4 linked regions of the Lytechinus pictus genome follow. The protein of the gene in region 4 binds, or shares a complex with, the protein of the main gene of each other region. Links are inferred from orthologs where the notes say so. Each region holds a gene or a part of one and is shown on either strand. Other genes may lie near its edges.

Region 1 (7,259 bases), on a different chromosome or scaffold from region 4:
ATAAGATACATAACTCACCAATAAAAAATAATGCGAGCGCAAAGCGCGAGCTCAAAAATTTGTGATATTCCAACCTGAAAACTGGACATTCTAAGCATTTTTTTGTGAACGGGAAGAGAACGAGTACAATAATTGATGCGAGTGCAGGAAGCAAGCCAAATATTTGTGATATTTCAACCATAAAGCAACATTCTATACATTTTTGTAACCATTAGCAGTACTGTACTAAACAATAATTGATGCAAGCACGATTCAAAATCTGTGATTTTCGAACCTAAAATATATTATGTTTTATTATTAAAAAAGGTATTTCTTTCATTTGGACAAAAAAATCTTATGGGGATTTTTTTTTTTTGGGGGGGGGGGCAAGAGAGCACAAAGCGCAAGCTAAAATTTTCAAATGCTTAAACTGAAAATGAGTCATTTTTAGGACTCTTGTCGTTTTCATATTTTTTTCTGCTTACAACCACTTTTATTAAACAGTTAATTAATCATTAATTATTAATACTTATCGATAATATTAATAATTATTAATTTTTAAATTATTTTTTGTTAATTATTATTTCTTGAAACCATATTGACACAAAAAAAAATACGTTGTTTATTTCCTTGAAACTGTAGAGAAATAAGATTCAATGTTGAACGATATATGATAAAAAAGAAGTAAAAACTTTTTCCCCTTTGTTTTGTCAATCTGACCCAAAACCAATATAAAATTTAGAAGAGAGATAGAGAGAAGAAGAAGTCCCACCACCAAGAATAAACTTAGACAAGGGGGGGGGGGGGGGGGAGGGAAAGGAAAAGATGGAGTAAATGTGATATTATTTTTTAAACAATCTATTGCAAAATTAGCTTTTCTTATAGAAAGAGGGGGACAAATTTTGTTCACTCGCTCGCTTCAATCGCTTTCTTCTTTTTTTTTGACAGAAATTTTGCTCTATATATGCCATGCTTGGCCCCTCATAGTTTCTGGCTCATCATGCCATTGACATAACCCATTTGGATATGACAAAATTGGAGACTGTGTTCAAGTTTACCAAATCTTTTCAGAATATCATTAAGACTTAAAACATTCTTGTTGGCCAAAGAAAATAATACAAGGAAAATTCATTCTGAGCAACGTGAATGCTTACGATCGGCACGGTCGAGGCCAAGTCCACTGCGCATGCGTACTCTCAATCCGAAGACGCAAGTCATGAATATTCATATGCTGCACGTACGTGCATAGCGCCAACTTAATGTGTTCCGCCATCTTGCTTGTTGGTTGCCGATAAAATGCGCATTTTCAGATTTTTTAACGCTCAGTTATTATCCATGACTGAAACATTGACCAATCAAAAACTAAGATTCTATAAGAAATATGAATATTCATATACGAAAGTAAAAACATAGATAATTCAGTGTTATGTGAAATTTAAACCCAATACTTCAAAATATGGTTAGTTTTATGTCTCTAAAATGACCCTTAAAACCAGAATTTTATTACTAAAAAATAAAGGTTTTCCCAAGTTGCCATGGTAACGCGGTCTGAGATAAAAAAGCTTAGCAAACACTTCATTTCAGTGATCGAGGATGTATTTGTTTACGGTATACGTCTACATAAATTATAACATTTTTTTCCAGACCATGGATGAACTTTCAAAAAGAGACATTTTAGGCAAGTTTTTACGATTTCCGGAAATTTTCTGACACAGGCACTTTGAAGAGGTAATTTTTACAGAATTAGAAGAAGACATCATGGATTTTCCTAATTATCACGACGGATATGCAACTTACTTGTAAACAAATCAAACAAAGTCTATGATACATTTTTGATAATGCAAAAAGAGACATTCAAGTCTCTGATTGAGAGCCGCAGATTGAACATTCGCACGGCGCAATGGTAGCGTTTTCGCCGAATTCGTCGGGGCGAAAACTCCAAGCGAGCCGTACCACTCACCAGTCCCGAACGCTGCGCTGTATGTTTGATGATTTATCTGGTGCCATTTCGTGCTTATAAATTAGTTTTTTCTACAATGCCACTATCTCATTAAAATTGTTTGTCATGATAACATTGGAAATATTATCGTTTAATGGCCCAAAGGATCGACTCTAATAAAAGATACTTTGAAATATTGTCAAAGAGTGATTAGTTAGGTGATGTTTATGGTCAGAATTTAGTCATGGCTTCGGGTGAACTTACGCGAACGCGGTCACTTGCTCACGGGGTGAGTCGGCCTGGCCCTTTGGTGGAAGGCCGTTAGGCAACGTGCAGTGCAGCTAGAGCAGAGTTGGGGAGTTATAGGTATAAAAATACTTTGAAATAAGTAATCTGCAAATATTTTTGTCTTATCCCTTTGGATTACTTAGATAAGAAATTCAAATTCTCAAAGTTTAAATCAAATTTTAGACAGTGACAACAAAGAGTGGTGCTGTATGGGGGGGGGGTCTTGCATGCCCCCAATTCACGAACAAGAAAAAAAAAGGAAAAGGTAAGAGAATCTTGCGAGATCGTTCAATTGGATTTTTGTAACCAAGAGTCAAAATTATGCTTATGTCGCTTGCTTGCAACTATATATTTTATAAATTTTGCCTGATACGCCATATCGTTTTACCCTCAATTATTTTCGCTTGTTACGGCTTACGCCACTGACTGATATAACATTATTTGGTTGCGGGATCAAAGCATCAGCTATAGCTAAACATTTATACTTTATGCCTGTTCAACTTCCAATACAGGTTTAGGCCTGTATTTATGAGATGTTAAGATCTATGGACGGTAGACAGCTGGCAGCCGTCTGTTTCGAGGAGTTTTTTAACCATTTTTAATTTTTAATTTCTCCTCGTACAATAGACAGCTGGCAGCCGTCTGTTTCGAGGAGTTTTTAAACATTTTTTATTTTTTAATTTCTCCTCGTACACATGTATTTGGTGAGTGGAGCCAACGTAGTTCAGCGGAACAACCAACATAACAGAGACCGAAGCTTTTGGTCTAGATATATGGGTGCCTTTATTATTTTCATTTTCAATTAAAACAATTATTAATTATGTATTAATTTAGTATTTACCTCGATGATACATTTTATTGTGTTAAATCGTACAATTTCTGTTATATTAAGCCCCTTATTAAGCCCTTTTAAAAACATGCTCAGTAGCAGACCCCCCCCATATATAAAGACAATAGAAGTGTATATAGAATTAATTGAACCCCCCCCCCCTATTGAGGACAAAATGAAAAAAAAAATACTCAAAATAATCGACCGCCCCCCCCCCCTTTGACGAGGCAGCTGTCGGTGGCCTGATGTCTTCATTGACTTTTTTTTGCTTGTAAAAATAATATTAAAGAAATAGGGGCTACTCTAAGTGTCCCCTGTGAAAATTGATCTGGATCTGCAAGTGCATGAGGCTGCGCCCTCTCCAACGTCATAGCTACCCCATATCTTTAGGTTCTAGCTCTCATATTTTTCAGCTCCCTGATTTTTTGGAAGAAAAAAAAACGAGGCGAAAGAAAAGAGTGAAATAAATGAAATACGATTAATCAAAATTTGAGTTGTTTTCTATACTTATCAGAGAAACTAAATTAAATTCTACAACCATGAAGAATAACAGCAATCTTGATAAATTCTGTTTTTTTTTCAAAATCAGAACCAATCAACCTTTTTCTGATTATTCTGTCACTTTCCATATTTTGGAGAAAAAAATAAAAGTGTTCATCGACGCCCTGTACTGCACGATGAAACTGTATCCCCACTCGGCCCTCGTAACCCCCCCCCCCTCTCTCTCTCTCTCTCCCTTCCCCCCCCCCCCCCACCACAATGCCCCTTGCTCATTTCTCTTATCTCACCTTGACCTTAATTAATTAATCTTAACTATTTGGCGGTACAGTCAAACGTGACTGGTCGCCATCATAGTTTCATCCCCAACAAACAAGGAACAAACAATAACAATTCTGTTTTTCCACCCAACATCATTCCTTTCAATACGCGTAAGGCTATACGTGGGCATGCACAAACAACGTGGGTTAACAAAAACTGACCCGCGTTTGGACTGAAATTGTGATTAAAATAAAAATGTTATAAATATGAAAAAAATATGTGTATAATGAAGGATATTTGATAAACGGAAAAACATCAATCGCTAATTCATAAAAATGCTGGAAAAGATTTGACAGTGGTTTTTAAGAACGGTAATCAAGGGGAATTAGTGTATGGGTGAATGGCGTTCGAGCTTTAGCCGAGCGTTAGCCGGTGAGGGCGCGGGCCAAATCTGGCAATATGGCGTCGTCCATTAAGCTGACGTTAGGCCAACGGCGACTGCACGTACGTGGCTGGTCCAGAACTCGGTGGGAAAAATAATTTCGCGCCCGGGCCTTGTTCTTTTCCAACACAAAAACACACATTTGGGACTATATTAGTATTTGTGTGAATCAAGAATATTAATGAAATGTTTTGTAACTGACAAAAACATTTTCATGAAATACTTATGAAAAAATGAAGAATGATGTGCAAGCCAGAAGAAATATCCTACCCTACGGCTACGGTATTGTACCTCGTCAAAAATTTGTGTGACTCGTAAGATCCGACCTGTTTTTCTCGCTTCGTATGCTGCCACATTTGTACCGCCTGCTGCATCATGTGTTTCTAGATCCTCGATCTTCCGAACATTATCGAAATTCAACGCGAGACAGTTTGGATCAAAACTGTGAGAAAAGCACACAACTGAAAAATGTCATCAAAAGTCACTCCTTTAAGTATAATATTGGTATCATCCGGATCAAAAGGTTACCGGTTGTTATTTAGATATCCATTTCAAGCAGAAAAACAGCAAGAATTAGTTAAACGAGGTAAGTGAAAAATAAATAACCAAGCTCCCATCTCACTGAGCTCAGTCCCACTCGTTGAAACCTGGGTCGGTTACTTACTCGATCGGTTAAATAAAAGACGGGGAGGGGGGGGGGGGGGGGGAGAAAATAATGAAGGAAGGAGAAAGAAAGAAACTTAGAATGAAAGAAAGAAAGGAAGGAAGGAAATAAATGAATAAAGAAAGAAAGGAAGGAAGGAAAGGAAAGGAAGGAAGAAAGAAAGACTAAAACTAAAAAAAAGAAACCTAAAATGAAAATTACTTGAAACTGAATGAAAGTTTAATAGTAATAATTACTAATACGGTACAGAAATTCCATAATTTCTGAAAAAGTAAGTTGCGGAGTAACTTTACAATCCAATGTCATAATGGATTATGAGAGCATGGATTACACACTAGTATTAGAACGAGGCATCATCATAGTCATACTTCAGCTCATGACATTGGATTCTAAAGGTAAGCCCAAAGTAGGTCATTGTTTGTTTGTGTGCCGCAAAATACAGAGACATAACAGGACCTTGCTCAGCTGTATGTCGCAAGCATGCACAAAGTATAGGTATACTCATCTTGTGTGTTAACTAATTAACATTGCTGCATGCAAGCAAAAATCCTTGAAAATTCATGAAATTCATAATGCAAGCCTATATCTATATGATCAGTATGCATTGTGTGTTGCACTGTGCTTGCTTTTTACAGCCACAAAGAATCCTCAACAAATGGGTTTCGAAAAATGATCAATAAATTTGGACGTTATCAAATGTTGAACCCCGGCCCCATCCCCCAAATAATGAGAAACGAATGTGAGGAAACTTGAAATAAGCTACATGTATCGAAATCTTTGAAAGAAAGAAAGAAAGAAAGGAAGGAAGGAAAGAAAGAAAGAAAGGAAGGAAGGAAAGAAAGAAAGAAAGTTCAAAAGAAAAAAATTATAATTTTTTTAACTGGAAGTGGTACGCTAGTGAACCGACCATTTTGTTTTCATGTGTAAGTAGATCGTATAATTTGTTATTGATATGAGGTTATAACTGATTGCATACTTTATGTACGCATACATTTGTTATATATATATATTTTTTATGTTGTTTATAAACTTTATATGGTGTACACTCATACCCTGAGAGGGGGTTGATAGAGTGAATTAAATATTATCTATCTTCTAAATCTTACACAATGTATCTATCTATCTTCTTAATCTTTGATGGATTTTCCTCAAACCTTCACCAATATTTTTTTCTGGTATTTTTACAACATGTTTTTCTTCAGGGCGAACTTCCCTTTTAAGTGCAAGCACCCTGTCACATCACCAGGGAGGTTGTGTCCAGGCTGCTGCCAGCGCCAGCTGACATTCCTAAAATTCCATTATGCCAAGTCCTCATGGTCAGATATTTTAGAAGTTTATTAACCCCTGTGTCCAAGCATGTTGAAATAAAGTTGACAACGTTGGACAGTTTTTAGCTTGTTTTCTCTTGATCTTGTGGATAAATGCTTGATTTGTTTATACACCCCCCAGATCTGTCAGATAATCCATTTGCACTTCAGACCCCCGAGGATGATCCGTATACTATCTCAACTAATCAGTCATCTACAAGACAGTCGTGCATTATATCTGGGTAGGTTTTTGTATTCTATTTTGGTTTGTTTCAGGTGGGGGCTTATTTTCTTACTTATGCTCATACAGTACATTTTTATCACATTCAATGGCAAATTTTGGGCGGCATTTTAGAGCTCAACAGTGCATTTTTACATTTAAGGGACAAATTGTGTGTTTTCTTATGTATTTACACAGCTATTAAATTGGGCAGGAGGGGGGGGGGGTGATAAGGTGCAAGATACTACCACGACGTTAACACATCAATTAGTGCTTGCTAAGTGTATGATTGAGCCATCTCCCCACCCCATATTATTCTTTCTTCATTTATTTTTATAACTTTAAAATCATTATTCTATCCAAGAACGATAAGGAACTGGAACAACCTACCCAGCTCAGCTATCAACACCAAAGGAATGTCCAGTTTCAAGGAGGCTGCTCTCCCTGCCATCAGAATGATGCAGCCCCCTATTGGATCCCATATGATTTAAAGTCAAAAGCTTGGTTTTTACTTGCACTCAGCATAGCATGTTTTACTGTACATATACAAAATTGCTATGTCTGTTCATCACCATTTCTGCACTTCATGACACTCCTTCCAGTGGCTCACTTTATTCATCATCCCAGTATATCTTCTGTATGAGCTGCCAAAGGGATTACTACATCAAGTATCAAGAGGGTATTTGCCTCCTTGCTCCTCACTGATGTAGAGCCTCCCACATAAATCAATCTTAAACAAATGTATGTGCATTTTTTCAAGAGTGTTCTTTATCCAGATTGTGAGAGATCCCTAATGAAAATAAGCTGAAATCAGCTAAGAAGTTAATCTGTC
Region 2 (7,444 bases), on a different chromosome or scaffold from region 4:
GTTGTGCTTTTATCAAGGCTTTCCGATTAAATTTTCGATATCCTGGCCAATCAATGCGAGCGATAAGTTCCGAACGCACGCACATCTACAAGCGCAAAGCAGCGGCACAAATGGCGATATATAGTGACTGGTACATACGTCTGTAAGGATGATGACGTCATCCAAGATGGCAACTTACGTTGACCAACAAAAGGATTGAAGATGACTATGTTTCGATCATCATTTGAAAGGAATTAGCGGTAACTGCGGTCTGAGGTACGATATTTCTGAATTTTATATATTTTTTCTTAAGTTTGAATGTACTTTCTTTTTTATAATGTGACATTTTATGTACAAAAAAATGATCCGAAAATCGGTTTCCGCCGAATGTTAGATCTAACATTACTGCTAATACGTTGGCTGTACGTACGGGCCAACAACTCTTCAGTCTATGTATGGGTGAGTGGAGCCAACGCAGTTCAGCGGAACAACCAAAATACAGAGACTGAAGCTTTTGGTCTACTCGAAACAATGCTTGTATTTCCATAATTTCATTAAATAAACGTGTTTTCACCGGTTTCCCACAGAAGCTATCGCATGGTTAACAAAAGGCTTAATGCATGGCTGATCGTCAACAAAACGGAGTGTCCAGTGAGTTTGGACGCTAGCCTGTAAAACCTCTTCATTTAATGAAATTATTGAAATTCAAGCCTTATTTCAAATAACCAGAACTTTGTTATTTCGTGACCATTTTCTGTAATTGAGGTATCAAATTAAAGAGCAGATATTGAACTTTTAAAAAATGTGGTTTTCTTTTTGAAACCCAGATACAGCCTGCCAAATGACCTTTTGGTATCCCCTCTTCAAATTGTTTTTGCTCACTCATGCGTGAATGACAAGTAAATTCAGATGAAAGAGGAGATTCTAAGCTTTACAATGGTAGGTCATTTGTCTATTGCATTTTTGATTAAGTTATGATAAATCATCGATAAATCTTGGTTACATTTTTTGTGGTACGCACTGTATATCGCCGCCGAGATGACACATGTTCGATCTATTGCAAAAAAAATCTGCAATGGCCGCCCCAGGGTTTCCCCACAGGGGGAAATTTGACACCCTTCCAAATGACTTATGAGGCAGAGGCACTCTCCAGAACATCGGACATACCGGCCGCTTGAATTGGAAATGCGTGCTGTTGATGCGCGCGAGCTCATTTTCAGAACGAAGTCACACGCAGCTGAGCGAAGACGTGAAGATGTCCGATGTTAAGTCTTTAGAGCCAAAAGAGGCCTGTTTGGTAAGTAAATAATTGTTATTTACTGATTTCTATATCAAAATTTTTCATACTAATAATTGAAATCTGCATTTGCGCAGCTGAAATAAGTTACGGTATTTTATCAACAATCAAGCGCGATTTAAATTGCCGAAATTGATCGCAGCACACAACTTTACGTGCCCACTATTTGGAAACTGCGTCCGATATTTGGCAAAAATAACAAGCTTCTGGTAGTCATGAGTCAGTAAATAACTTCCATTCACCATATTTTTTCAGTTTTTTTTTAAATTAGATCTAATATTCAAAATTTGTACTCGGGAAATATGATTTTTATTTGATTCAATGTTTGTATTTTTGTTTTGGTCCAATTATGGTCAAGTGTCCGATACTTGAGCACTTTTTTTTTTACTCTATAGTCTATTCCGTGTCAATCAAATTCATAGGGGTCTAGGTTTTTTTGTTTTATTTTTACCCCTGGGCCTGGCCTGGCCTTGGCTTGGCTTTAGCCTTTTAACGTCCATGCGCAGTGAGTCGCCATGTGCAATTTTTTTACTGTTGCGCCACTCACCTGTCACTGCCTGACTACAATGGTTCTAGAAATCTTTTGCAATGTTGAAAAGTGTCTTGTGGCATCTGATATTAATCCTCAGTAATTCCCTGAAATGCTGCAACGTTTGGTTAAAAGATCCAGCAAAAGACAAAGGAGTTTAGCGCAGTCAAAGTCAGACTTGCAAATTTGGATCCGTACGGTGGAATTTAAGCTGCCATTTTTCTCAGGCGACGATTTGAGACGCCCACACTAAGCAATCGATGTTTCCAAAACTGCCCGCTCAAGTTACCAATATTTGGTATCAAAATATAGATTATAAAAAAATGCTCACGATCATTTCATTTTGAAGGTGGGGGTGACAATTGTTATCAAAATAAGAGGGGGTGGCATCTCAACATATATCTCAACCCACGGAGAGGTTTCAACAACGCAGCTGAGTCAATGCACTTTTGTGTACGATCGGTGCGTGTGTGTGCGCATGCGCGATATATCTGTGTAGTAAATGTATTGGATTTTTCGAATCGGCGACTCAAACTATACCCGTCATTGTGTCGCCGTTCCGGAAGTGTGTAATTCATGATGTTCTTACTAAAAACTGTAGCAATTTCAGGAGAAAAGTTTATCATATATTTGAGAGGATTTGTGGATACTTTCATCTCATACAAAGATTTGGGTAAGAATTTTTTTTTGTTGTTGCAAAATTGAAGGTTGAACTTTGAAGACTGCCGATGGCGACTCACTGCGCATGGACGGACGTTAGGCTTAGGATAAGTCTAAAATAAATCAAACTTGACCACCATCAATGTGAGTGCGTTGTGTACGTAACTTTACGTACAACTGAGAATGCAAAATGCACCAGTGGGTGGGTGGTTACAGTCAACAAGTGGGCAAGTGGCTCAACTCAGGCTCAGCTCCGCTGCTCAACAATGACAATGATTATCTTCTCACGCGGATTCCAATATGTGGGACCGATCCTAAATTTTAAATTAGCATTTTGTTAAGAGACTTTACCTGTACACTCTGATCACTGGAACATGTGGCCATTCGTTGACCATAAAAGTCAAATGCAACATCATGTATCAAATCCTTGTGTTCTGCAGAAATACTCTTCGCCTTAAACATTTTGTTGATTTCCCGCAATATTTCTTTACAGCAGTTTCTGCTCCAAAGCAGATACCATCGACGATCGACGACTTGACAAAATTGGCAATAATACGATTCAGCATAAACAATGATAATCGAACAACACATTATTCAAATTTGTATTTAATTCGATGATTTCAAATTAAATATTTATGAGAAGTACAAAATAAGTTTTTTATATGTATCTATTTCATTTTTTTATCTGAATATCAGTGATTTTAATGATCCATTTCTATTAATCAGTGGCTATTGCCAATTTTCTATTTTATCACGGTGGCTCATTCAGGAGGCTCGCCTAGCACAAACTCAGCTCAGCTACCATTGCTCCATTATATTGTTGTGTCATGTTGATAATGCACCAATTATGTCGAGGATTATTCCTTGCATGTCATGAATCAATTTGATCAAGCTCCTATAAGGGGGGCTGTAACATACACTTTGCATGGGCTGTATCTTGTTTTCGAATGTGCTTGTTTGTAACTTTAAGTAAAAAAATAAATTAGCTATAATTAGTAGGCATATAATGTAGCCAATATAGGTATAATATTATATGGTTTTTTATCCGGTACTTTTAAACAGGTTGATTTATCTATTAATTGATAGAGAGAAAAATAAAACTTAATAGAAACATCATTGAAAATTTCATCGAAATCGGATTTAAAATAAAATAGTGAGCCTAATGACATTCTAAACTTTTGATTATTGATTTCACAACATAGTAGACCCTATATGCCAATAAGGGAACCGATGACGTCACCTACTCACCATTTCTTTTCAGGGTCGAATAAACGATTTTTTTTTTACTGGGGGGCTGATGTAAATTTGAAAAGCAAAAAAAAACTGTTTAACTACAAAATATAGATGTCCGACGTCGCCGCATATGGAAAACTAGCGGACAGAAGGTCCTCGCTGCACGCGCGCACCCTTATAACACGCAGAATTCCCTTGCATCATAGGCCTACCCTTTTTTCACAAACAAATGTGTATCAAGGACAAGCATTGATTCAGATAGAATTTCTGTCCCCCTGAAATGAATATTAACAACTTCTATTTACATTCGATTGGTGGGAATTATGGCACTTTATTACATTAAAATCACTCAAAACCATCCAAAGTCAGGAATATGTATTGGGATAATGGGTTTGGGGGACATTTTTATAGTACCCGGGTGGATTACATCCGTTGTCACATCGGTGGGTGATAGTATCAAGAATTTTCGTTTAGATTATAATAAAGGGCACATTGTAAGGCAAATACTCATGAAAGAATCATGGGGATTAATTAATAAGGAAATAGGACACTTTCATCATCAAATCAGAGGAGATTTTCTTTGTGATAGTGATGTCCGAAGAGCAAACCTACACTCGACGTGCATTCAGGGCTGGACAGAGCTTTTGTGTACGTCGGTGTGTTGTTCGAGTCACAGCGGTTTTCCAGCTCTTTCCATTGCAGTGCTGAACATTTTATTAGGAATATATAAATATATATACATTGTCAGTCCGAACTATAAATATAAATATATCAGATACCTTTATTTTTGCCAACAAAAATCAATTTTATTCTCTGAAAGTTGGATATGTCTCTGAATATTGTGACGGGTCCATTATGTATACGAGGGGTGCATGCATCGCGCATCCTAGCTTACCACTGCATATGTAAGTCTGAAAATTAAGTTTTGCTTATTCCTTTCACTTTATAATGATGTTTTAAATGTTCAAACAACGATAATTCATGAAATTGACACAAAATATTGCGAATCAACGCTAAAACATTATTTGTGTATACATTTTATTTATCCCTCTGTAATGCTATTTCCCCCATAAAGCCGCAAATGGAACATTCTGTACCACTAGTCACGATGATCGCGAGGTCTGCAAACGTCGTCTGCTATGTTTTTACATGTCCGGTACACTGTATGCAAGTTTTCGATATATTTTAGTCCCGAGAAATTAGAAAAGCAAACAAAAAGTTTCATTAAAAAATGTTGGTCATTTTGGTTACATTAATTTTGCCACACCTACCAGAATTCCAGGGGTGCTGCCTACACTGTTAAAAAACCTGATTTTACAGAAAAAACGAGATTTTGCAGAAAGCAATAACAGAATATTTCTGTAAATTCATAAAACAGGAATTTTTCTACAACTTAACAGAACAGGTCTGTTTAAAAAAGGGGAAAATAATGTATATAAGCCCTATATGCTTATAATATATGTATTGATTAATGCAGTATTCTATTAATGCATCAATGTCGTCGAGAGCTCTAAAACTAAAGCTTTTACTATTCAAATTTGAAATATTTCTCGAAAAACATCTAAAGGCAAAATACATTAATGCTCTTCTAGTGTGAGTATATCAAGTCAATGGTCCCCTGCAATACAGTGCCTTTGCTTTTTTTTTTCAAATTAGCTTCCCTTCTTCACCCTCCACAAAGATAAGGACTAGTAATGCCTTAATGTTTTAACTCTATATTTTTGTCAAAAACTCTCTGATTTTTTTTTCTATAAGATATTCTTTATGACAATTCAATTCATTTTTTTTAATTTCCACTTAACAATACAAATTAATTATGATACAATATTCAATACATAGGCCCCGATTAGTGGGGGATAACTTTAATACATGTGAATAAATTAGTTATGGAAAACATTCTCAAGCATTTTTTTTTCGCTCAGTCGCTACGCTCCTCGCATTAAATTATAAACATTTTTTCTTAGGGGCAGCGGCGGTTAGCTGCTTGTCAGTAGTCTCCCCATAGAGTACACGATATGCCATACGGTATTGAATAAACCAACGGTCGAAAATTTATCAAGCCACCCCCCCAAAAAAAAAAAAAAAAAAAAAAACTCACTTTTAGTCTAGAGCCACGCCTGGTTAAAAATTAGATTCTTATGTGACTCATTTCACTTCATCTATTTTACAAAAACTTTGGAAAATTGAGTATGTAGGTCTATCTGTCTTTCAAATTAATCTATCATGCGTTGTATCAGTAGTACGCTTTTTTTTTTTTTTACATTTTCTGGTCAATCTTAAATCATGAATGTTACATCCATATCTGTTGCCCACTGGCTCAAAACTAATGATCAAATAGATTTAATTCCTAATTACATAAATTGGTATATGTATATTATTGTCATAATCAAATGATCTTTTCATTTATTTGTAATTCCGTCTGAATTTTTAATATCGATGCCTAACTTTGTATCGACTCAGATCTGACGAGAATGTTTCCACGCAGAGAATAAGTGAACAGCATTTTTATTGTACCAATGCCATATAAAACAGCAGGAAAGTTCTCTGTACTTCGACCGCCCGCTCAGATCATCAGCCGAGAAGCCTGAATGAGTGTCGAATTTGGAAGGGACGAGTTATTTTATCCACACATTTCTATGGCTTGAGCTCTCTCTCATGACCGGTACCGTATACGTAGCTGAGCGCTCGCACCACCGCATACGACACAGATCGTCTCACGGGCAAACCCCCCTGAAGTGCCACGACCGACTACCGGACCGACCGTACCCGGTACCCCGGCGCGGATCCACAGATATAGAGATCGAGCCTACGTAGGTACAGCGCAAGCGGTGCGTGAAAACAAATGCTGCTGGGCTGGAATTGTTTACTGCAAGATTTTAAGTTAATTTTTCATATGTCTGGATAGGTTGTTGGCCTGTGGGTTTGATTGGAATTGTGTTAATCTTCACTGGACTGCCAAAACAGACTTCAATTCAAACTTTGTTCAAATTCAAGTTCACTAAAAATCAGAGGCAGAGCCAGAGGCCAGAGGCAGAGCAGAGTCAGACAGCTGTGAGTGTGAACAACTCACGACACAACTCACAATTACAACTACAACAAGTGCAGTGTTATCTCGACTCAGAAAAGTGCCCAGATAAATCATCTGCATCTGCTAACCTGTGTGGCGGTTTTTTTATCCTGGGCTTTGATGTTTGGTAAGCCAAAATATGACTTATGAGGCCAGTGTGCGTAGATTGATATTTCATCTTTCTCTGAGTCAGTTGGACTAAAATAATCTCTGAGTAGAATTAATATAAATATAATGTAAGTTTCGCTTTGGTTCATTCATTGCGATGGGAGGGGGTCATATGGTTAGCCAGGAGGCTCCTAGACCTAGAGAGTAAAAATCATTTACTTACGTATGCTTACTCTCCACGGAGCCAGGGATTCCGTCCCATTCATGTGCGTGTACCGCCAAAAAACCTGAAACTTTCGCTCCGAGATTTCTACTTTCCTTATTAAAAGATCTAGCCCTAAATCGTGTAAATGCCTGGGATACAACTTCATTTCTGACATTTCTACGCTATCGATATCATCTTTAAACAAGAATTCATGAAAAAAAATGAGAAAAATATTATGAAAAGACGGGGTAAACTTGCTCGATGTTTACGCCACCATCTTGTTTCTTATTGTTCTTCGCCAACGTTACGGACGCTACTTCACATTTTCATCAATGATTTTATAGTTTACAATCTTGCCATCAGTTT
Region 3 (7,008 bases), on a different chromosome or scaffold from region 4:
TCATCAACTTTCTCATTTGAGTTGTGCATATCACTGTTTTGTGAAAAATAAGCAAAACTTTAAAGTGTCATAACTTTCTTATTTTACATCCGATTTTGATGAAATTTTCTGCGTTTTGCTAGTTTGATTTTTCCCTATTTATTCAAATCAACTTTTTCCTGGGGTGGACTTGACCTTTAAAGCTGAAAAAAAGAAAGTGATAACAATTTACATGTTTGCTTCATTTCACCAGGGAGTTGTGATGTATTTCACAACAATTATTTGAACATCCTGGTCGGCAGTGGCGTAACTACGGGAGGGGGGGGGGGGCACGTGCCCCCCAATCGGCTGACACCCCCCCCCCCCCCAACAAAAAAAAAAAAAAACAGGGAAAAGGAGAAAAAGAGGGAGAAAGGAAGAGAAACGTACTGGGAAAGAAGAAATTATTGATGTTTTGTTAAATTATAATTATGTTATGTTATATTACATAAGAAATATCTTTTTCATAACTTTATGAAACATTAACTCAGGGCCTATGGCTATGTCTTCATTGTTCCTGGTGCTCGCATTGTCTGTTTAAGAATATATTTAATCCTGTTGTACTAAAACCTCCCGTTTTCAAGTCAATATACACCAAATATATTTTTTCGCACTTCGAGATATTGTTTTATGCACAATAGTATGCTTCTTTTTCATGACTACTTAAAGCGATTGCCTAATTTTAAGGTCTTGATATAAAACATTTCCTGTCCGTGCTTACGTTCGCAATTAGTGGATTGGTGAGGTATAACTGCCCTCCATGAGTTCCTATAGAATCAGTACTTAAAATATCCCTTTTTCTGATCTGAATGTAAAAAAATTTCAGCTCGCTCTTCGTATAATGATTACACAAATTTGATTATAATGTCCATTTTTAGGTCTGAATATCCAAAGTTTTCAGTTCGGGCTTCGCGCTCGCAATATTTGATTAGTGAGATGCGTATAATGATGATTACAATTACTACAAGCATGACAAGTGCTTAATGCGTTTAGATGCAATACTAAAAAAATCAGCAAGAGCTTGGCAATCGCATTAGATGACTATGGTGAGATATGTATACTCTTAATGGATTCCTAAAATATAGTCCTTAAAATCTCCGTGTCTGAGGTCAATATATACAAAAATTTCAGCTCGCGCTTCGCGCTCGCATTGTTTAGTGAGACAGGTACGTATAATGATTACAAAAATTTTTGAGTCCCTTTTTAGGTCTGAATATCCAACATTTTCAGCTCGCGCTTCGCGCTCGCATTATTTGATCAGTTAGATACATATACGAAGCGCGCTCACTAAGTGGCTCAGAATTTTTGCTGGTGCCCCCCCCCCCCCCCCCCCCCCATGCCGTGACCCACAGTACGCCACTGCTGGTCGGTATGCAAATGAGGGGACTGACGACATCATTTTTTTTTGGTATTTTATATATTGAATATTGATGTTTCAAATTTCTCCTCATCGTCACGTGAAGCAAAATTTTCTCTTCTAAACATGTGGCATTGCCATGGTACTAACATTTAATATGTTCAGTCAAGTTGGTCTTTTATGTCAAATCTGTAAACATTGAAATATCGTTAAAACTACTTTTTAATGAAAGAAGAAGAAAGAAAAAGTATAAAATGAGGGACATCATTGTCTTTCTCATTTTACATGCCATTTTAAGTTGTGAATATAAAGTCTTCACTGTTTTTTTTTAAGTATTTGAATTTAATTTTACTATTTATAACCTGCACACAGTTTTCTGTTGCCAACAGCCCTGGTTGTAATGACAGATTGGAATTAAAGATGTAATAATATTTAACTAGAAAAAAGAAAAGTGATTAAGGAGTAATGAGATAGAATCAAATAAATGTGGAGAATAGGGAAGAAAAATGAGAGCCAAAGAGAAATGGACTTCGTGCAAATTATATGAAATCTTAAAGGTCAAGTCCACCCTATAATTTTTTTATTTGAATAAATAGAGGAAAATCAAACTAGCTAGGCTGAAAATTTCATCAAAATCGGACGTAAAATAAGAAATGTATGATATTTTAAAGTTTCGCTTATTTTTCACAAAACAGTGATGTGACATGCACACCTGGGATGCAAACGAGACAGTTTATAACCCTAACTCACTATTTCATTTGTTTGTTATTGTTTAAATTGTGCAATAAGGACCAAGTTAACTGAACCATAGTAATAAAAAAGCTGATTCAACATGTTCAGGGAGGAATTGGCCGTTGTTTCATTTGACATGAGGAGAAAATTAGAATATTTCACATAATCAAATGCAAAAAAAGTGGATAGTCTCCTCATTTGCAAATCGGACCAGGATGTGGAAAACTGTATGTGAAATTAACAGAAACTTTAAAATGTGATTAAACTTTCTTATTTAACATTCGATTTTGAGGACATTTTCAGTGTTATAAAATGTTGGATTTCCTTTTTTTATTCAAATCAACTTCTTTGTTGGGTGAACTTGTCCTTGACCTATCATTCTGAGTTCTATGAATTTGTATTCTGTACCATTGTTTGTGTTTGATATGGTTTGAAATAAATACTATACTATACTACTACTATACTGATCCTTAGTTATATTCATAATCTATTATAGGGCTAATAAAATACACGAAGGAAGTTCCAACCTATATAAAGTGAAAAAATGACCCAACAGAAAGATATAAAGAGACTGTTTGCATGGTATTGGAACAAACTATAATGGGCCAATACAAGAAATAGACATTTCTATAGCTTACGTGTACTTCCCTGCTTTGTTCTAGCAGGGATATGTGACCATTTCCTATGGTATTATACCAAGGAGATATAGAGTGATATCTCCTTGATTATACAGTAGGCCCTGTAATGACCATTTCATTTCTGCATTTGGATGTAGACCACAAGATCCCTGGAGGGATTTCTGGGCATGGGACATTGTTTATGTTGGATTAACTACTGGCTAAATCTTATCTGAGTTATCAATTATCTTCTCACTGGCCACTGGTAGCAGTTCCCCTGGGAGGCTGATTGACAATGTTTACTAGCCAATGGAAAGTGACTCTGAAAGGAGGAGGTGGGGCTTGATTTGGAGCGTGAGAATTGATTTTTGGAAGATTATGCAGACCCTGTATTGGAACAGCAAGTTTTGTATGTGCTAGTCTTTGCGTGGAGGCACACTTATTGATCAAAGTTCCAATCAGGGTCTGTGCCTGCAGACTAGGTATGGGAGGGGGCGCTTCCTTCTTTGCCTGTCTCTCTTTTAGTCAATGCAAATCATTTTTTTTTCTTTCTTATTACTTCTTGATTACATAATTATATTCTCTCTCTCTGTCTGTCTTACGGTTCAAAAGTAATATAACCCAAGAAAAAATATCTTAGGCTTACTGAGATAATTAGAATTGTAACTTATATCTATAAAAAAATATATATAAAAAAAAAAAAAAGGAAGAAGGAGACTGAATCACAAATCTAGTATTAATGCAGATAAGTGATGCTACACTGCAGGGGCCGCGGAAGCGGGGGGGGGGGGGGGCCACTTTTTTCTAAGACCGTGTACAAAAACGTAAAAATGACCATAGGATTGTGATTTTTGTATGGTCGGCCCCCCCCCCCCCCCCCCACTTTGAAAACCGTTCTGTGGCCCCTGCACTGAGAATCTAACTTGTTGAAATCTCTATGTACCTTGGTCACATTTGTTCTACGGCGGCCGTACGGCGAGTCGAAAACAGTCGTTGTATTCATTTTTATTAAACCACCTATATGTAGCTCGTACCAAAAAAAATGTTAAAACGGCTGTTTTCGACTCGCGCCGTACGGCCGCCGTGGAACAAATGTGACCAAGGTATTATTCATCATTTTTTTTGCATGTACTAGAATGTTGGTGTGTTGATCCTTATGATTTGATTCATATGATTAGAATAAATATAGAAAGAAATATAATGTATATAAATTTAAAATAAAAAGATAAATGAAAGAAAAAAAAATTAAGAAAATGCTTATCCTACTTGACATACAGTGTGTGGCAAAATAGTAAATCATGACTTATTGCCAAATAAAAACAAGTAATCATATGGAATGGAATGGATGGAACACTGCACTGATCTGAATACAAGCAAGCAGGATCAGTGAAAACCGGTACCACCAACCTTACCTATCACCAACCCGGCCCTACTCGGTTCCGGGTACGGTATACGGTCCCATTTTGCATGCAAATTGCCTATTTGATAGAAGAAGTCAAGCAGCTTTCCGCCACGTCGCTTTAGCTTTTCATGAATTAATTGTAAAAGTTCTGGGCAAGATGGTAAGAAAATTATTTATTCATATATTACATTTTAAATTGATGCATTTCAGTTCTAATGAAATACTTTGATATCAAGATTTTCAACGTTTTAAACCCAAAATAGCTCTTTCAATGAATAATTGTTCTGTGCTCAGTCCCGTATGTGTCAAAAGGTGTGGTGTTTTATCCTATGAAAGGGGGGGGGGGGGGCATGTCTGCGCCACTCATCATACGAACTAGACAGCTGGCAGCAATCTGTTTCGAGTATTTTTTTAACATTTTAATATTTTTAAAAACTTCCTTGTACACAGACGGCTCGCTATCGTGCAGCCACCATTATCAAAATCCCCCTGACGCGGCTCATCGATTTTTGTCTTTAAGTTTAGGCCTAGGCCTAGGCCTATTTCAAAAAAAAATTATAGCCTTTTATAGGGGGCCTAAAACGAAATGTACCAAAATAAAGATTATTATTTCGTTTCGGCCTGAAATGCACCAAAACGGAGAAAAATAACTTAAAAGGGGAAAAAACAGTGACTTACTTCGGCTGTTGCGCAACTTCACTTTCCTGTTTTATCTGAACTTATTTACACATAGGCCTATGGCCATTGTCCCTGTACAGATTGAGCTAGAACTTTGGTCTCTGTATTTGGTGAGTGGAGCCAACAGAGTTCAGCGGAACAACCAACATAACATTTCATCCAGTGCTCAACTCGCACCAATTGCTTAGTTTAAGAACTCATATATTCCACGCACCATCAAGGACTGGAATTCTCTACCCCCCGACATCCAATCAATCTCACTCTCAGTCTCCGATAACTTCAGAACACAGGCAACTATATACTTTCGCAACAAAGACTTAAGCAACAAGGACTAATAAGAAATGAAGTGTGCACTCCCAATTCCTCCTCGGGTGGTTCCTAATAGTAATAAGGATGTTGAGGAGTATAATCAAGAAGAAGACCGAAGCTTTAGTTTTGGTCTACACACGAACAAGGTTATATAGCCAATATAACCTTGTTCTCGGCAGCATACTGTAGCATGGACAAAAAAATCAACTATTTTCCTCCCCATCCCTCGCCCCAAGTATCACAACCTGATCGAACTAGATCTGTGAATACTTCTAAGATTAGTCACTAAGTCAGTGATAAAAATTAGGCCTGGGATGAATGTCATTTTTACCATTCGATTATTTCCTGAAAAAACAATCAAATTATTTGATTGTTCATCGGAAATCACATCTTTTAAGTCACAATAGTTCACCTACTTTATGGTGACCTCCCGAATGAAGAAATCTCCATCAAAGTCACATGTTTATCATAAATGAAAGTAGGCCCTCTTCCCCCTTCTCCATGATTTTCAAAAGAAACTACATGAAATGAGATTAAATCTTTCAGTTTATTGTTCCAATGAAAATCTTTCCTAAATCAATGCTGGTACCCTGGTATTAGGTTGCATTGTTTTGAAACATGAAATGAATTCTCTGGCTCCCTCTCCCCTATCTTTCTCTCTCTCCCTCACACACACACAGATGGGGAGGGGTCAATTTATTTCTGAAGTCATGACCTTTCCTGATAAGGGAACGCATGTGGCTTCTTTGTTTCCCAAAAAGTTTCATTGGCTAATAGAAGGTCCAATCAGCTCAAGTGAGCTGGTTGTGTGTTTACTTTCTGTTTTGAGCACGCAGACAATGACTTGTATTGTGTATCGAGGGCAAGGCCGGGTTGGATTAACATTTTCGGAGCTCTTTCAGGTCGGAGTTTAACTGTGAATGTGATACAATCATTGATCAGTTTTGACAAATTACCTTGGTAACATCATTTTTAAACCTGTATCAAGTATTCAAAAACCATTGTCATCATAGTTATCCTGTCATTTTTTTATTATTACTTGGGTATTTGAGTTATCCCAACGTCATAATCGGGATCTGCCAAACATTCGGTCAGTGTAAAATTTGCTAATCGATTGGCGATCGGTGGCAAGCCATTCGATCAATCGATGTTTACTCCCAGGCCTAATAAAAATTAAATTAGATAAATTTTCACAATTTTTTGTTTCTCCTTCAGGTTTCTGTAATCAGTACTGTGGATACAGCTCATGAAGATATGATTGTAAGTCATTTTATATACCTTTAGTTTAAATTTTTTTGGATAATAGTATATTTGCACTCATGTATTTGCTTTGTAACTTGATCTTTATTGAAATGCCAAATAAGATAATAATGATAATAAGAAGAAAAGAATAAACATTAGATTAAGTAAGAGACCTGGGGCCTGTTTCTCAATACCGGGACAAGTTAGTTGTATTTCTTTCCAACAACCACAGAGTTAGCGCCAATATACAATGTACTAACACGTTTCACAAAAGGCTTATTGCGTGTATTACTAGAATCTCTCGATATCGATTCTATTGGCAGAAAGAGCTAATGAGACGTAGCCTTATGCCCAGTTGACACATGCAGGTATTGTGGTGCCCGCAATTCCCTGCATTGATGCGTGCCAGTGCGGGACACTTTATGGCACGACTTGGATATATCAGTTCACGCATTGTCCTGACACGTTCGTAACATGTTTGCGCGTTGTTATTATTATTATTTTGTTTTGGCGTCACCTGTGCCTGGGAGGCGAAAAGCGAACTGAATCACTATGACCCGCAGGTCTCTCCTCCCAATATAACTGATTGGGGGGGATGTATATAGAATGCGTATAGTTCGCGCATAGCTCACGCAGTGTTCGCGTACTGTCCC
Region 4 (7,599 bases):
TTGGAGGCGATATCATTTCTAAATGTGCAATCTGAAAAAAGATGTCAATTTCTTTACAATACAATGATTATATTACAATTACTATTACTATGAAATAATCAAACTTCTCGTAGGTTCGACCCCCATATTTCTCTATTTTTACTTTATCTTGTGAATTGCCCAAGACATGATAATGCGAGGGCTTTCTCATATGAACTTTTCACACTGTAGAAAGGTTAATTGTACATTTGGTTTGCTTTTGTTTGACATCTGTTCAGTTCATTTAGTTCAGTCTGGTATGTGTTTCAGTCAGCTACCTATAGATACTTGTGTTCTTATACCACGGTCACATTTGCTCTACGGCCGCCGTACGGCGAGTCAAAAACAGTCGTTTCAACATTTTTTGTACCTGCTACATGATATAGACATGATAGATGGTTTGAATAACAATTAATAAAACGGCTGCTTTCGACTCGCCGTACGGCCGCCGTAGAGCTTATGTGACCGAGGTATTATTCATCACATCAGCCACTATCCTACTCCTCTAGTCATCTTCATTCCTTTCCTATTCAGATGTACTCATTCATTCCATCCTCATATCTGGTACTTTTGTTGAACATTCTTCATTACATAATCACCCTTGTCATTTACCCATCATCACGTCAGTCCTTTTTCACTGTTTATTTTTATGAATTGGGCAACTACATTTTCTTTGGGTTCTCCTATTTTCTTGAATTTCATTGGTTAGCTTTAGGTTAATGTAAATAATGTAATGTTACTGTGGATACTACTTCATGTAGGGCCAGGAAGATATAAGAAGAAAGATATTTTTGTTAATAAAGATGCAGATACAGAGATAGATACACCCAGTCACTCTCATCGATTATTTTGTTCACCGTCTTCGGCTCCGTATGTTCCTGTTATATTTGCTGTTATGTTCCTGTTGAATTTAAACGGATATCATTTCTTCCCATCGACAAATCAAACCTCCCAATACAAGTAGATGTTTATTTCACAAACCCTACAATATGAACTAGAATAAAGAGACAAATCATTTCAGGAAAGTCAGAGATCTACTGCCTTATAATGGTAATTGTCTTACCATAGTTGGCGAGTGGCTCTACGGCAAACTGATTGAACTCGACTTGGTTGGTTCCAACAGAAAGAGAAAAGAATGTCTCGGGATGCACTGGGGACCACTGAACATCCTGTGTCCACTTGCTCGTCATCTTGGTATCCAAATTCTAAGGTAGAGGATTGCAACTCGGCATTACTGTCAAAGTATAATAGAGAATGATACGAGAAGGATTGTAAATGTAATTATGAGATGTTGGGGGCAATTGACTGTCTCCTTGACTTAGATGTTTTGGGATGTACAATTTACAAAAATATAGCTACCGGTACTTTTATTGACAGGTAGGTTTATCAAGGAAGTCATACACTGTATTCAGCGCTGACTGATTCATTTCATCAGAATCATCACTGACGAACTAAATCCGACTCATGAACTGTCTTATCTATTCTTCAAAATTGGAACCAGCGTGTACATCGCTAGATGGAAAATTCTCCATAAAATTGTGCATACTAGTTCACATTTCAACGAGTAGAATTAAAGACAGTTTACAAGTGAGATGTATTTCATCAGAACCATCAATGATAGACTAAATTTCACTAGTAAATTGTCTTGCTGGCCATAAGTGGCAACAGACGGAATAAAAAAAAAAAAAATAAATAAAATTGTATTAAAAAAGAAGAAAGAAAACAGAAAGGGGATAACATTTGATCTCTCTGGCATGTCTGGCTTGAGACATTGCAGGACAGGTGCCTTTTCAACTGCTCTTCCTTATTTCAACATCTCAATCAAAATTTAGGTCTATGAATGATTGAAGTTTTAAAATAATGAAAATCTAGTAATCATCACAACCTCAGACTCGGTGTCATGTTAAAACATTATAATTTTCATAAGAATAATAAAAAATTCAAACCACCATTTTGAGGGGAATAATACACTGAGCCTACTATGGGGCTCATACTGACTGCTAGATGGCTAGCCATCTGTGTAGGATGAGAAATCAAACAAGTGAAATAAAAAATGTTCAAATACTCCTCCATCAAATCAAACGGAACAGTTGGTAATTTTGGGAACTGAAATATTCACAATTTCACGATTCTATTTTAGAGTTCTAGTCAGGCAGATTATATATTGACTGGGTATAATAAAAAAATTCACCAATTTGATCCCAAAGCTAGACTTAACTCTGTATGACTTGGCGTAGACAGCTGGCAGCCATCTGTTTCGAGTTTTTTAACATTTTAATTTTTTTTAATTTCTCCTCGTACACAGACGGCTCGCTATCGTGCAGCCACCATTAGGGGGTTTACAATGCAAAATCCCCCCGACGGGTCTTATCTATTTTTATTTCATACAAATACATAAAAAGAACTGTACCAAAATTAAGATTATTATTCCGTTTTAGCCTGAAATGCACCAAAACGGGGAAAAATAAACTTAAAAGGGGGAAAAACAGTGACTTACTTCGGCTGTCGCGCAACTTCACTTCCCGTTTTAAACTTTTATCCGAACTTAACGGCCATTGAGTCCCTGTACATGTCGCACTAGAACTTCGGTGTCTGTATTTGGTGAGTGGAGCCAATGGAGTTCAGCGGAACAACCAACATAACATAGACCGAAGCTTTTGGTCTAGACTTCGCGCAGCGCTCTCGCAATTGCATTGAATTTGTGTGATTCTGGCCCGACATCATTTACAGGGTGTGGGACTGTATATTTTGCGAATTCTTAATCACTCAAATCAGTTTCATATTTTGAGCTACAAAATGTCATAAACAATAAATAGTTTGGTACATTTGACAAATTAAAATGAAGGAATCTGGGATGCATCTAAATCTGAAAGACAATGAAACAAATAATTATTTTTTTCTTACCTCTATCCTGTAAGAAACTGGATCGCCCTTTGCAAAGTGATTTCGGTTTGTGTGATCATTGATTGCGATGGCTCCCGCTGCTAAAGGTGGCGACTAATAAGCTCATGAATACGACGTTGTACCATAGAGATGTATACTAATTACGTTATTAGTATACATCTCTATGCGTTGTACCGATCATATCCGTATGCATAATGCATGCGACCAAGCGACTAATAAAGGCAATCTCTTGATCCTCGGAGGGGTGGGCAACAGGGTACTGACCGCGGAACTGTGGGGGGGGGGGGGGGGGGAGGGGGGCTTCAGCCCCCACTCTTTTTAGTGACCATGAAAAAAAACCCGCGAAAATGACCATCTAATTGTGAAAAAAAAAAAGAAGAGTATCAATAGAGATCTCTGGTTCGATTTTAACTCTGTATTACCCTTAATCAGGGTGCTAAATAACTTTTTAGAAGCACTTGCCCAGTCGGGCAAGTACATTTTTGAATGGTTCAAATATACTTGCAAAAAATTTATTTCACTTGCCCGAAAAAAATCATTGAAAAAAAAAAGTTTCACCCCTTCAAAAGAAAGTATTGCGGCTTTATGAACCATTGACCTTTTTCTCTCTTTTGACCTGATCTAGTACCTTGTTATTGACATCGACCGTAATTTTGGCCATTCTACTGTGAGAATTCTACTTGCCCAATTTTGGCAAGTAGTTTTGGTCTTTACTTCAAAACACTTGCCCGACTCTAACTTTTACTTGCCACGGGCAAGTGCTTACGTAGCACCCTGCCTTATTTCAATTGGGAAAAGGAATTCGTCACCACATTTTAACAGTGGCGTAACAGGCGGGGGGGCATGGGGGGCAAGTTGCCCCCCCTGGCGGATTTCACCGGGAAAAGAAAAGAAAAACGGGAAAAAGAAAAAAGGAGGGAGAAAGAAAGGGGAAGGGAAAGGAAAGGGGAAAAGGAAAGGGAAAAGAAAACGAAGAAATCCCATTTTTTTAATGGAAAAGGAAGGAAAGCGGGAAAATGTAGGAAAGAAGAACATTAAGGCCTATGTAATGCAATAACACGGTGGGAAATAAATTAAAAGATAAAAAATGGCAAACAATAGCGGGAAACGAAGGTAGAATGTAATTCGCCAAAAGCTAAATTGGAAAACAAAGGAAAGGGACAAGAAAAATAAATAATAATACGACCGGGCTGCCGATGATTGAAATTAAAGAACGGGAAGAAAGACGGGCTGCATACAACATTGTGCTATCACGTTGCTAAATTTTATGCAAATGAGCTACCGGTGCTTTGCCCCAGACCCCATGCAGTAGGGGTTCTTCATTTAAAACCTTCAAATGGCTCTATAACGCCCCCCGTTCAATCACTGGCATACAGGCGCGGAGGGGGGGGGGGGGGTCTTGGTTCCACACCCAAGAGGAAATAAAAGAAATTAAAGGAGACAACATATAATGAAATGAACGGAACCAATGAAATGTGTTATTTGCTGAATATAATGAAAAAATCTATCACATAATTAGAATTTAATTTCAATAGGCAATATTTTTCCAGCTCGCTTTGCACACTGGCGACTTTTTACAAACTTTTCCAAAATTGCTATGTTTTGCCCCCCCCAAATATTTGGTGATTACGCAACTGGGTTAAATAAATGTGTTGTGTAAGAGCTATATTCTGTATATGCCCGCGATTTTGATTAAAATAGCGGCAATCTTTGAAGTTTTACATGTTTTATGATGGCTTTGATATCAAGAAGTTCCGGGGGCTCCGCCCCGGACCCCAACCGCACAGCACTGCGTATGGAAGGGTTGGGCCATGGCCCCAAAAAGTTCTACAGACAAGAAAAAAAAGGAGGAAAGAAAAGCAAAGGAAAAGTGTAGGATATGATTTTATTTACTGAATATAATGTCAAAAAATAGCTCAAAGTTAGATTCTCATGAAAAGGTGATTTTTTTCTCGCTCGCTTCGCTCGCTCTGGACTTATATAGAGCAGCTTTTTAGAACATGTGCTATACTGCGCCCCTCGTTTTTTTTTTTTTTTTACTCTTCACGCTACTGCCGCAAAGAATCCTGTTCACAGTGGCGTACAGACCACAAAAAAAGGAATCTAAAGAGAGAAGAGTGAAATATATTATTTTTTGGATATCATGTCAAAAATCTAGCACAACATTTTAATTTTTCAATTAAAAAGGTCAAAATTTTTGCTCGCTCGCTTCGCTCGCTTGAAACTTTTTTTAAAGATAAATTCAGCCCGATACGCAATATCTGGCCTTCTCAATGTGTCGCCTCATTACACCATTACGCCTGTTCATACCATGATATGACCGGGAAATTTTTGGCTCTTGCCCCCCCTGGCCACCGACCCCTGTTACGCCGCTGCACATTTAGGTCCCTAGCTAGTCCCACCTCTGGCCTGCAAGATACCGTGATAAATCATAGGGGCATCATTTTTTAAATATCATTTTGTGTCTTGGGGATCCTGCGAATTGACAGTATAAATGAAAGTGGCACATGCCTATTCTCCATTGCTTCATCCTACGATGAGGAATAAAAAAATAGGATTGATGTATTAAAAGATAGGATTGATTTGAATCATATTCGTGTGTTCATTAATTGGCAACGAAAGTTTGACGAAAGGTGTCCTGCCCGGTGTCCTGTTCAAAGCTAAATGAAATGTGTGCCATTCTCTTCACAAATCGGAGTTCGAGTTTATTTGAATGAATGGAATTATAAAAATCAAGAAGGGGCCATTCAATAATTAAAACAATGAAACATAAATCTCCTCATTCGAGCTTGACCACACATTTTACAAAACAACCCTAAATGAGTTATTTCTCAATTTTATTCGGTTTTATCCCCCCTGATGTACAATTTTACACAGGACATTTTAATAATGTCTATGCAAAACATAGGCTTATCGTAAAAAAAAACCCCACAAGGTCAACAATATCTGAAAATACATGATTTAACTATAAATAGTTTGCCACGATCTTTCTATATTTTTTTTGGTACTATAATAACAAAATATGAAATGATACATAAATGATTGCCACAACCAAGCTTGAAATTGAAAGTAGAAATGGAGAAACGAGATGCCGGGAGAGATAAATGATAGTAAAAAAGAATGTGTTTGCGTGTTATAGAGAGAGATAGAGAGAGTTTCAAGTTTCAAGTTTATTTTTATTGATTTCAAATCCAAACATAAAGGATTACAATAAAAATGAAATGCACAATTTTTTTTTACAAATTAGTATCGAACATCAAGTAATTTACAATGATAAATTAACATTTCTAACAATAAACAGAGTGACAAATTAAACGAAACCAAAACAAAAGGAGAAATATAACAAAACAAATCAAATGCAGGAAAAAAAAATCAACTATATGCTGTCAGAGAGAGTGAGAGAGAGAGAGAGGGGGGGGGGGAGAGGGCATTATAGAGAGAGGGGGGTGGTAGGGGCCGGGGAGAGGGCCGGGAGATAAACCTTTCCTGATAATATCCTAAGAATTTACAAATTGAAAAAATGAATTCCCAACCTATTCAAACCCCTCTAGCTCTCTCTGCACCTTATCCCCTCTTTTAAAATTATGGGGAAAATTGTAAGCACCAAGTGGAATACCTCAACATTAAACCACTCTCTCTATCTCTCTTCACATGCCTTACCGATTCATTTGTTACATTATTCCCTCATTTCTTTTCATTCCCTTTTCTTTCTTTTTTTCCTTCCTTTGTTTTCTTTCTTTGCCTTTTCTCTCTGTCTTTTTTCCTTTCTGTCTTCTTTCTTTCTTTCCTTCTTTCTTTCTTTCTTTCTTTCTTTCTTTCTTTCTTTCTTTCTTTCTTTCTTTCTTTCTTTCTTTCTTTCTTTCTTTCTTTCTTTCTTTCCTTCCTTCCTTCCTTCCTTCCTTCCTTCTTTCTTTCTTTCTTTCTTTCTTTCTTTCTTTCTTTCTTTCTTTCTTTCTTTCTTTCTTTCTTTCTTTCTTTCTTTCTTTCTTTCTTTCTATGATTCATTTTATTTTGTCATTCTTTCTTGTTCTTTTTCTTATTTTTTTCCTTCCTCCCTTCCTTCCTTCCTTCCTTCCACCCTTTCTACTTTTTAAAAAAACTGTTTGTTCGTTTCTTCCTTCTCGTCTTGTCCAGCTCCCCTCTTTTCATTTCTTTACTCACCGTGAATAAGCATAATTTCATACTCCTTTCACTAAAATCGGTTTAAAAAAGCTGATTTAATCAGGATAATAACAATTTATACAAACATACACTTTTATTTTAAGGCGAAACCTACTATCCACATAACGAGATCACACTCTCTCTATCTCGATAAATAATGCATACAATTTAATGTCTTAATTCATGCAAACAATTAATATTAATCATACATGCAACTATTTCAAAGCATTCAGCAATAATATGAAATAAGTAAAATCATGATATCACAAAAATATATTGGCAAAAAGATTGTTATAGTTGGGAAAATGAAATGACTTATCATGATTGTAATGATAGTATTAAGAGATCATGACATGTATGTTACAATCAAGCAATAACAGCTTTTACAAATAAAACATTTTACTTCAACTATTTCTTTAATGTCCAACATGCCCCATCAATAAGTTGATTTGATCATAGAAATAAAATTTTACAAGTATGAAATTGAACTATTAAAAAAATCGAATGTTGAAAATA

The links.
Region 1: GATOR2 complex protein MIOS-like (region 4) and GATOR1 complex protein NPRL3-like share a complex: the UniProt entries of both Drosophila melanogaster proteins name them as parts of the GATOR complex. The link is inferred for Lytechinus pictus from reciprocal best matches to the Drosophila melanogaster genes mio and Nprl3.
Region 2: GATOR2 complex protein MIOS-like (region 4) and nucleoporin SEH1-like share a complex: the UniProt entries of both Drosophila melanogaster proteins name them as parts of the GATOR complex. The link is inferred for Lytechinus pictus from reciprocal best matches to the Drosophila melanogaster genes mio and Nup44A.
Region 3: GATOR2 complex protein MIOS-like (region 4) and protein SEC13 homolog share a complex: the UniProt entries of both Drosophila melanogaster proteins name them as parts of the GATOR complex. The link is inferred for Lytechinus pictus from reciprocal best matches to the Drosophila melanogaster genes mio and Sec13.

Annotation. Positions count from the first base shown.
Region 1 is NC_087254.1:36,127,192-36,134,450, forward strand, and holds the start of GATOR1 complex protein NPRL3-like, read left to right. Parts: upstream 1-4,234; 5' UTR 4,235-4,704; coding exon 4,705-4,822; exon of another isoform or gene 4,823-4,875; intron 4,876-6,349; coding exon 6,350-6,449; intron 6,450-7,259. UniProt on the Drosophila melanogaster protein: An essential component of the GATOR subcomplex GATOR1 which functions as an inhibitor of the amino acid-sensing branch of the TORC1 signaling pathway.
Region 2 is NC_087246.1:48,199,296-48,206,739, forward strand, and holds the start of nucleoporin SEH1-like, read right to left. Parts: upstream 3,011-7,444; 5' UTR 2,928-3,010; coding exon 2,817-2,927; intron 1-2,816. UniProt on the Drosophila melanogaster protein: Probable component of the nuclear pore complex (NPC). Involved in maintaining the localization of another nucleoporin Mgtor to the nuclear envelope of early meiotic female germline cells.
Region 3 is NC_087247.1:59,274,087-59,281,094, reverse strand, and holds the start of protein SEC13 homolog, read left to right. Parts: upstream 1-4,001; 5' UTR 4,002-4,283; coding exon 4,284-4,286; intron 4,287-6,328; coding exon 6,329-6,373; intron 6,374-7,008. UniProt on the Drosophila melanogaster protein: Functions as a component of the nuclear pore complex (NPC) and the COPII coat. At the endoplasmic reticulum, SEC13 is involved in the biogenesis of COPII-coated vesicles.
Region 4 is NC_087257.1:8,783,257-8,790,855, reverse strand, and holds the start of GATOR2 complex protein MIOS-like, read right to left. Parts: upstream 3,010-7,599; 5' UTR 2,923-3,009; intron 1,253-2,922; 5' UTR 1,209-1,252; coding exon 1,082-1,208; intron 1-1,081. UniProt on the Drosophila melanogaster protein: An essential component of the GATOR subcomplex GATOR2 which functions as an activator of the amino acid-sensing branch of the mTORC1 signaling pathway.